2 linked regions of the Rattus norvegicus genome follow. The protein of the gene in region 1 interacts with the protein of each later gene in a biochemical or structural test. Links are inferred from orthologs where the notes say so. Each region holds a gene or a part of one and is shown on either strand. Other genes may lie near its edges. The genes, in order: Gabbr2 and Kctd12.

What was found.
Region 2: the proteins of Gabbr2 (region 1) and Kctd12 form a complex in vitro, tested with the Homo sapiens proteins (2 studies listed by BioGRID). The link is inferred for Rattus norvegicus from reciprocal best matches to the Homo sapiens genes GABBR2 and KCTD12.

The regions. Positions count from the first base shown.
Region 1 is NC_086023.1:65,755,137-65,758,945, reverse strand, and holds part of Gabbr2 (gamma-aminobutyric acid type B receptor subunit 2 precursor), read left to right. Parts: intron 1-1,661; coding exon 1,662-1,844; intron 1,845-3,809. UniProt on the Homo sapiens protein: Component of a heterodimeric G-protein coupled receptor for GABA, formed by GABBR1 and GABBR2. Within the heterodimeric GABA receptor, only GABBR1 seems to bind agonists, while GABBR2 mediates coupling to G proteins.
Region 2 is NC_086033.1:86,217,628-86,222,204, reverse strand, and holds the start of Kctd12 (BTB/POZ domain-containing protein KCTD12), read left to right. Parts: upstream 1-1,479; 5' UTR 1,480-1,677; coding exon 1,678-2,661; 3' UTR 2,662-4,577. UniProt on the Homo sapiens protein: Auxiliary subunit of GABA-B receptors that determine the pharmacology and kinetics of the receptor response. Increases agonist potency and markedly alter the G-protein signaling of the receptors by accelerating onset and promoting desensitization.

The sequences.
Region 1 (3,809 bases):
TTACTGTAGTTTTTTAAAAACCATTCTTCCTCTGCATAGCACATTCTTTTGTTTCCAATTATCTGCTGTAGACAGCCTTAGAAATGGCGTTACCGGGTCAAAAGGAACAACCCCTCTTAGTATCCACCCACATCTTCCAGTGCAAACGCATCCACCCTTTTGATGTTGTGACACAGTGTTGGCCTCTGCAAAGTTCATGCTCCAGAACCAACTGTTAACTCAACTGGGTTTTTAAGACTCACACACAAGACAAGGCGTAGTTTCAAGTGAGCTTATGGTTGTGTGCTGGGCAGCATTCACTGCTCTCAGCAGCCACGCGTCCCCTGTAGGATACAGCTGTCACACCAATCTAGAGAACCGGCTTGAAGAGATATTTTGCAAGCATTATTCTTTGCAGCCATGAATAAAGAGACTTTAACCTCTCAGGGCCCTGTGCAGCCTGACCGATATATAAATCTTTAAAAATTGAATATATTAGAAAAAAGAAAAGTAAAGCTAGCAAGATGAGTCAGAGGCTAAAGCCCTTGCCACAAAGAGCTGACAACCTGAACTGGAGCCCTGAAACCACAGAGACGTGGAAAGAAAGAGTCAGCCCCACAAGCTGTTCTCTGACCCTCATGTGCATACCTTGCTATGTGACCACACAATGATAAAATAATAACGATAGTAATAAGGGTGATGATAATAATACCCCTCCCCTAAGTTCCTCTGCCTGTGCTGGGTTTCTCTTCTCCACTGTCCCTTCAACCCGACCCCAACTCCCCACCCCATTCCAACCCCTCACCCACAGCACAGCAGGTCCTGGTAGCCACTCCTGCCTGAATCCCTCTGGCCGATGACAATGAAGTTCTTCTTCACACCTACACCCAAGGCTAAGGAGTCCTTATAGAGGTTATGGAAACTCTACTCCTGGTCTCCAGGGCTAAGCCCAGAGCCCACCATGGGCTAGAGAAGATTCTAGAATGTGTGGATAAGGTTAGAGTCATGGGGCAACTTTTTTGTCTCAAGTTTTTTTCCCCCAGTGGGGCTGGGAAGGTACTACAATAGTTGACAGCCCAAACTGCTCTCACAGAGGGTCTAGGCTCAGTTCCCAGCACCCAACTGCAGCCCCAGAAGATCTAACTGCCGGCCTTCACCCCTGCCTGCATTGCATGTACACACATAAGCACCCCACATATATGCACATACACATGCATCATTAAAAAGGAAGTAAAAATCAGCTTCAATTGCTCGATCATGTCCAGACCCCTTCCCCACAGAACCTGTATTATAACAGATGTGAGGGGTTTTGAGCTGCTACGTGCCTTTGCCAGGACAAACAGGTCAACAGCTAGTCTCTAACTCACCCTGGAGTCGTCTTCACCGTCTTCCATTTTCTTGTTGTAGAAACTCTCCACAATGGGATCTTGCCCAAGGTCTTGGACTGCCTCTGCCCCTCTGGTAGGGTATGAATGAGCCAGTCAGAAGGCTGACTCTCGTATCCCAGAAGGACTTTGAGGCTCAGTGACTGGGAAGCTACCTGCCCACGGTCATGCCCAAGCCTGTGCCAGAGCTCAGCGTGGGCCTCTCTGGGGGAGGGGGTGGCCTGTCAGTTCGGACTTGGTTGGGGAGAGAGAGGAGCACTGCAGGAGTCTCACCGCAAGCCACCTCTGTCCCTTCAGCTCATCACTCTGAGGACAAACCCTGACGCAGCCACTCAGAACAGGCGGTTCCAGTTCACACAGAACCAGAAGAAAGAAGATTCGAAGACCTCCACTTCAGTCACCAGCGTGAACCAGGCGAGCACGTCACGCCTGGAGGGACTGCAGTCAGAAAACCACCGCCTTCGAATGAAGATCACAGAGGTGCGCCCACATCTGGAGGCTACCCATTCTCCTGCCCAGGTCCCTTCCTGGTCTCCAACCCATCCCTGCTCCATAGTTCTCTAGAGCACCCCAGGCCATGGCAGCAGGGAGCTAAGCACATCTGATCCAAACTTAGTGCTAGGAGGACCCTATAACTCCCATGGTAAAAGGGTGCAAAGATAGGCTTCCCCAGAGATGGCTGTGCTGTGGCTAACCTGTCCCCCCATTCCAACCCCAATTCCCTCTCATTCTCAATTCCTAGGGTTCTGACTGGACCTATACCTGGGCTGAGTCAAGTTAGGGTACTGGCCAAGCAACAGTAACAAAGGTTTCAAAAGCAAGTAGCCCCAAAAAGGAGGCTAGAAAGGGAGGGCCATGAGCTGGAGGCCAGCCTGGGCTGCATAGCAAGGCTCTGTCTGAAAAAAGAAAGTATATTGCTTCTCTCTTACTTAGTGGACTTGAGGACTGGGGTCACAGCTGGGCAGGGTCATTTGTGGGCTGTGGCTTCTCTTCTGCTTCCTGCCCATTCCCCAGGCTCAGTAGGACAAAGACATGGCCTCAGTCTCAGGAAGAAGAGACACAGAAAGCCCACATAAGGGATTACCCCGTAAGCAAGTGACACACACACACACTCACACACTCACACACATACACACAAGCATGCTCACACAAATACACACGCATATTCACACACATACTCTCTCACATATATGCACACACACATATATACACTCATACACACACATACACACGTATTCTCACACACGCTCTCACACATACACATGCATGCTCATACACACACACACACACATACAGACACGTATTCTCACATACACGCACACTCTCACACATACACACAAACACACACACGTTCATACACATTTCTCTCTCACAAACACACTCACACACACACACAATTTGCTTACGGTTTTGTTCTGTCTCCCTGTGCTGCCAAAAATTTCATGAGCTCGTTTAGCCACAGAGCACAGAGGAGCCTGGGAAATGTAACCTCTTGCCAGACACTTGCAGGGCAGAAGCTGGTTGCTAGATTGCATATGGAACGACCAGCTAATTCTGAATTTCAAATAAACTGCCAATCCTGTTTTCAGTAAGTATATGAAGGGGCCTTGGAGTCAGCACAAAGATTACTCCCCCAGAGGGACAAGCTAGGGGCTGCCTCTGGATCTGGCAAAGACAGCAGCAGGTGACTCTGCAGGACTAGTTTTTAAGGAGAAAAGGGCGAGTCTGTTCTAGGATGAGTTGGTGGATTCTGATTGGACATTTTAGTCAGAATAGCCAAGTAGTGAATTTTGATTGCTGGACTTTGGTGTTTTGATAGTTGGACCTTAGTGTTTTAGACAGGTAAAGGAAGTGCCCAAATCAGGCACCAGACCTTTAGAAATGTAATCTAACGGCTTAACAGGGGGTGGGAGGAGAGAGGTCAGGGCCCAACAACACCAGATTTGCAAGGCTTGGGCCTGTTAGAGATCCCTTTGGTACACGACTTACCAAGTGCAGGCTGTACCTAAACTGCAAAGAGGGCTCTTGAACTGCACTGGACTTCTCTGTTTTTATTTGCTAGGTCCAGCAACCTCTGTGGGGTTCACAGACCCCTGCCATACAGGGAGCCAGCACACTCATTCCACGCACCGGAAATGCTTTAAGATGGGTGCATCCTGCACCAGCTTCTGTGGCAATGAAAGCATCAGCTTTTGCCGCTCCGAGCCCATTGCTAGTTCATCAGACTCTATACCAAGTGACAGCACAGCACTGGTCTAAGCCTTCCACTTCCTTCTAGCAGTGTAATCACCCACTGCTGAGAGCCCCAGTGTGGCTTTGCTTGCCCTAGAACTGAGCCTCAATCGACGTCCCATTGGACAGATCCTCGGCTCCCAGCACTGCCTCTATGTAGCACAAATAAAAATAGGAGGGCTTTTTTCATTCATGTAGAAACTTATTAGGCAG
Region 2 (4,577 bases), on another chromosome or scaffold:
AGATCTTTCTGGGCTTATTGTGATTGACAGCCTGTCCTTCAAAGTGATCTGATAACTGTTCAGATGGTCAACCCTTTGCCTCTTGGCTGCTCGAAAGGAGATGTTGCTATTCAGCCTTGAATTCTCCACAGCCTGATGCCCCGCAATGCATAGGAGCATTTATTAACCTCGTGGTTTCCTGGAGCCTCCTCTATCCAGGGCTCCTTGAACCCTTTACTTATTTATTTGCCAAAATCAGCGATCAGATAACACTCCCACGTGCCACGTGCAGAGATGGAAATTTGAAGAGCAACCTGCCTCTCCCTCTGCGAGAAACACAGAAGGCTTCCCGGCGGAGGCAGAGTTCTGTGGACTGCAATTTGTGCGTGACTGCAAACGCTGAGCTAGTAGGAGACCATAGAGAGCAGGGCTGGACCTAAAGGGCCTTCAAACACATCCTCTTCTCTGGTGGGCGGTCTGGCCAAGCACAGAAGAGAAAGACGGAGGGAGGAGAACACGGGCTGCTGGACTTTTAAAATAGCTCTTCGGGGCTGAAAGTCATTTTTTTTTTGTATATGTGCATTAAAATTTCAAGGAACAAATAAAATATTAGTAGAATTTTAGTAAAATAATTAGATACTAATAAAATCAGTAAAAGAAAATATTAGATTGGAATTTTCTGGTGAAATTCACAGAAAGGAACTGGATGCCTCGCAGTCCGCTCTTGGAGGCACTTAGTAGTTTTCATGGCGACGTAGTACCAGCCCCCCACCTTTTGTGCCCACCCAACTTCCTCTCCTAGTCATTTCTGTACTATGTTGAAGTTTCCTAACCAGAGACTTTATGCACTCGTAAAATAATCTAACAGAGCATTTTCGCGAAGCATCCTCTTGTGGTTGCTAGGGATTTTTCGAGGCTATACGGTAGTCACGTGAAAAACCTTTGGGTGCTCTGGGTTTGGAGGGACCCCCGCGTCCCTTCAGAACTTCCAGAGCCCCAGGGATGGATGTTCTACAGCAGCGCTCTGCACTGTTAGAAGCCTGTAGGTCTAGAGGGCGCTAGCCGCAGGCAACCAAGCTTTTCGACTCTGCCAGAAAGTTTCCAACCCCTTCTGGAGTCCCCGGGTGCGGGCTGCGGTCAGCCGAGAAGGGCGGCAGGAGGGGAGGTGGGGACACAAGATGTTCGCTTTAGAGAACAGCCTCCTGGGGAAGCGCCGAGGCTCTGACCCACTGCGGAGGAAGAAGAGGAGCTGGGTTGGGGCGGGCGGTGACAGCCGGGTCGCCCCTCGGAGCGCGCGGGTCAGGGTGGAGCCTGCTGCCCGGAGCCGCGTCAGCGTTTAGCATGCAAATGCATTCCCCGCTCCTCCCCCACCCCCACCCCGCCCCAGCCCTCCCCGCCCCGGGAGCGAGCTCAGCGGCTCCGCAGCCGCCCACGCCTCCTGCGCGCCGCGGCGCCCGAGCGGGCGGCTCTACTTAAGCGGCGCGCGGGCCGCGACCCGCCACTCGCCTGGAGCGCGCGGGCGAGGCGGGCGCAGCGCACCGGGGCTCTCGTGGGCGCACTGCTGCGCGCTCGCTCCGCGCGGCTCTCCGTGGCCAGCCGCCGCCTGAGCGCAGGGCTCCCGGGCTAAGAGCCGCTGCGGCTTCTGATCGCGACCCCGCTCCCTGCCACTTGGCACAGCCCGGCCACCTCTTTTTGGCCATGGCTCTGGCGGACAGCACCCGAGGATTACCCAACGGGGGCGGAGGCGGAGGTGGCAGCGGCTCGTCGTCGTCCTCAGCGGAGCCGCCGCTCTTCCCGGACATCGTGGAGCTGAACGTGGGAGGGCAGGTGTATGTGACCCGGCGCTGTACCGTGGTGTCCGTGCCCGACTCGCTGCTCTGGCGTATGTTCACGCAGCAGCAGCCGCAGGAGCTGGCCCGGGACAGCAAAGGCCGCTTCTTTCTGGACCGGGATGGCTTCCTCTTCCGCTACATCCTGGATTACCTGCGGGACTTGCAGCTCGTGCTGCCCGACTACTTCCCGGAGCGCAGCCGGCTGCAGCGCGAGGCCGAGTACTTCGAGCTGCCGGAGCTCGTGCGACGCCTCGGGGCGCCCCAGCAGCCCGGTCCGGGGCCACCGCCGCCGCACTCGCGCCGCGGGGTGCACAAGGAGGGCTCACTGGGCGACGAGCTGCTGCCGCTGGGCTACGCGGAGCCGGAGCCGCAGGAGGGCGCCTCGGCCGGGGCGCCGTCGCCCACGCTGGATCTGGCTAGCCGTAGCCCGTCCGGGGGCGCGGCGGGCCCCCTGCTCACGCCGTCCCAGTCTTTGGACGGCAGCCGGCGCTCGGGCTACATCACCATCGGCTACCGCGGCTCCTACACCATCGGGCGCGACGCTCAGGCGGACGCCAAGTTCCGGAGGGTGGCGCGCATCACCGTGTGCGGCAAGACGTCGCTGGCCAAGGAGGTGTTTGGGGACACCCTGAATGAGAGCCGGGACCCCGACCGGCCCCCGGAGCGCTACACCTCGCGCTATTACCTCAAGTTCAACTTCCTAGAGCAGGCGTTCGATAAGCTGTCGGAGTCAGGCTTCCACATGGTGGCGTGCAGCTCCACCGGCACCTGCGCCTTTGCTAGTAGCACCGACCAGAGCGAGGACAAGATCTGGACCAGCTACACCGAGTACGTCTTCTGCAGGGAGTGAGCTCCCCACGCCCCTCGCCACTCCGGAGCCCACTTCCCTTCCTCCCCGCGGGGGATAGGATTATAGATACCCTCGCTCCTTCCCTGTCTCCCCATTCCTTCTGCCCCGCCCCCAGGCCCCCAGTAGCTCGCCCAGACCCGTCTGCTCCCCACTTGAGAATCTGCAGCCACAAATCCTCTGGGCTTCTTCGTCTTCTTTGGACCCCACTAACCGAGAGAGTGCCCAGATGTAGCCCTTCACTCACGCTTCCTCTACTCCGGGCCTCCAAACACCCTTCCCCCCAGATTGTCGTGATCTAGTGGGGCAGTGCGGGAGCAGTCGCCAAGTATCTGGGAATGACTGAGTTGCTCAGACCCCGACTGCACGGTGTCTGGCGTGCAGTGAGGACAAGTCCTTGAAATCTTAAACCCTTTGACTCCATAGCGGTTTTCAGAGATCAGAACTGAGAGCGCTGTGTGGAGACAGTGTTTTAAAACGTTGTTACGGACTTGATCCTCATTAGAAAGATAAAAGTTTTAGACAACCGAAAGGAAAACCGTAAGTTGGAATTAAGACCCCATGGAGGCAGTTCAAAGACTGTAAATAAAGTGCTTTTTTTGTTTTTTAAAGTTACAGGTAGAAGTAAATTCTAGTACTGGCAATAGATCTCCTGTGGCTTAAAATTGTAGAAAGCAATCCTCCTGCCTGCGGAGGCGCCCTTTCTCTTCAGCTACTTGCCTGAGCTCTAGGTTTTGTTGGTTAAGTCAGTACTTCTAGGCTAGGAGCAAGGAGCAGGGGGCAAGGTTGCCTAGGCCCGCGGTGACCAATTAATACAGGAATGGTTAGTAGGGTCAGACAGCCCTTACTTAGGTCTAGGACTGTGGGAGGGTTGGGGAGGGAGGAAAGAGGGGAGGAAGGGCGGGAGGGAGGAGGGGACATACTCATTTATTATTTGAGAGTTGGACGTTTGTATGATCCACTTGAGTACGTGCACATTTAAAAAAATATGAAACAGTACGTGTAAACTTAGATTTTATCAAGGTTAGTAAAAGACCTATCTTCAGCTGGAAGTCTATCGAGCCATTTTGAGTCCTAAACTTAGTTGCTAATACCCGTCTAACCTAACCAAAGAGTTACCTAGTAGAATTTTAGTGCTTTGAACATTTATTTTCTTGTTGGTTGTATTTCCTCATTTTTAGCCTATTTACTTAAGCAAAAATAAGTTCGATTTTAGTTACTTAGACTTAAGATCTCTTACTATTATTATTATTAGTAGTAGTAGTATTTTTAAATTGCTGTTTTCTGCAAGCCCAGCAAGTGTGGACTCCTAGGCAGTTCTGAAAACCGGAACAAGGCTCGCTCGCCCTTTCATGCGTTTGCTTGACGTTGCAGTGGAATCTGCTCCTGTCAGAGCTGAAGACAAACGGAAGCGCCCTGGGAGCTGCCCATCTGTAGAGAGCTGTGAAGTGGGATGTTCTTTAAATGAAGGCAAACAAATACTTCAGTGTGGGCTGAGCAATAACGCGGTGTTTTAGGTGAACGCAGCAGAAGCAGGAGACCCGGTTGCCTTACGCCTTTAGTCCCACGTGGAATGAATTCCCAGCGTGGATCCTGTGCACACCACAGCCGGAAGGAGGTGAATCCGTACGCTTCCTGCTGACAGGCATCTTTTGGATGATCTGTGATTACGGAGAAGCCTTTTTATGTGTGTGCTTGTTTTACCATTTCACTCAGAGATGTGTTTTTAAGGATATTTGTAAGAGCCATTTTAAGTGTTTAAATTAGCGCCGTGTTTCCTTCTTTCTAAAAAACGAACCTTGTACTGTATATGTCATCGTGTCCATGGCAGATGTTATGAATTGGGACAGTTTTATTGTCAGACTCCTGCGGTCCACTCTGTACATACCATATATAAACATTTTACACGAATCCTTTAG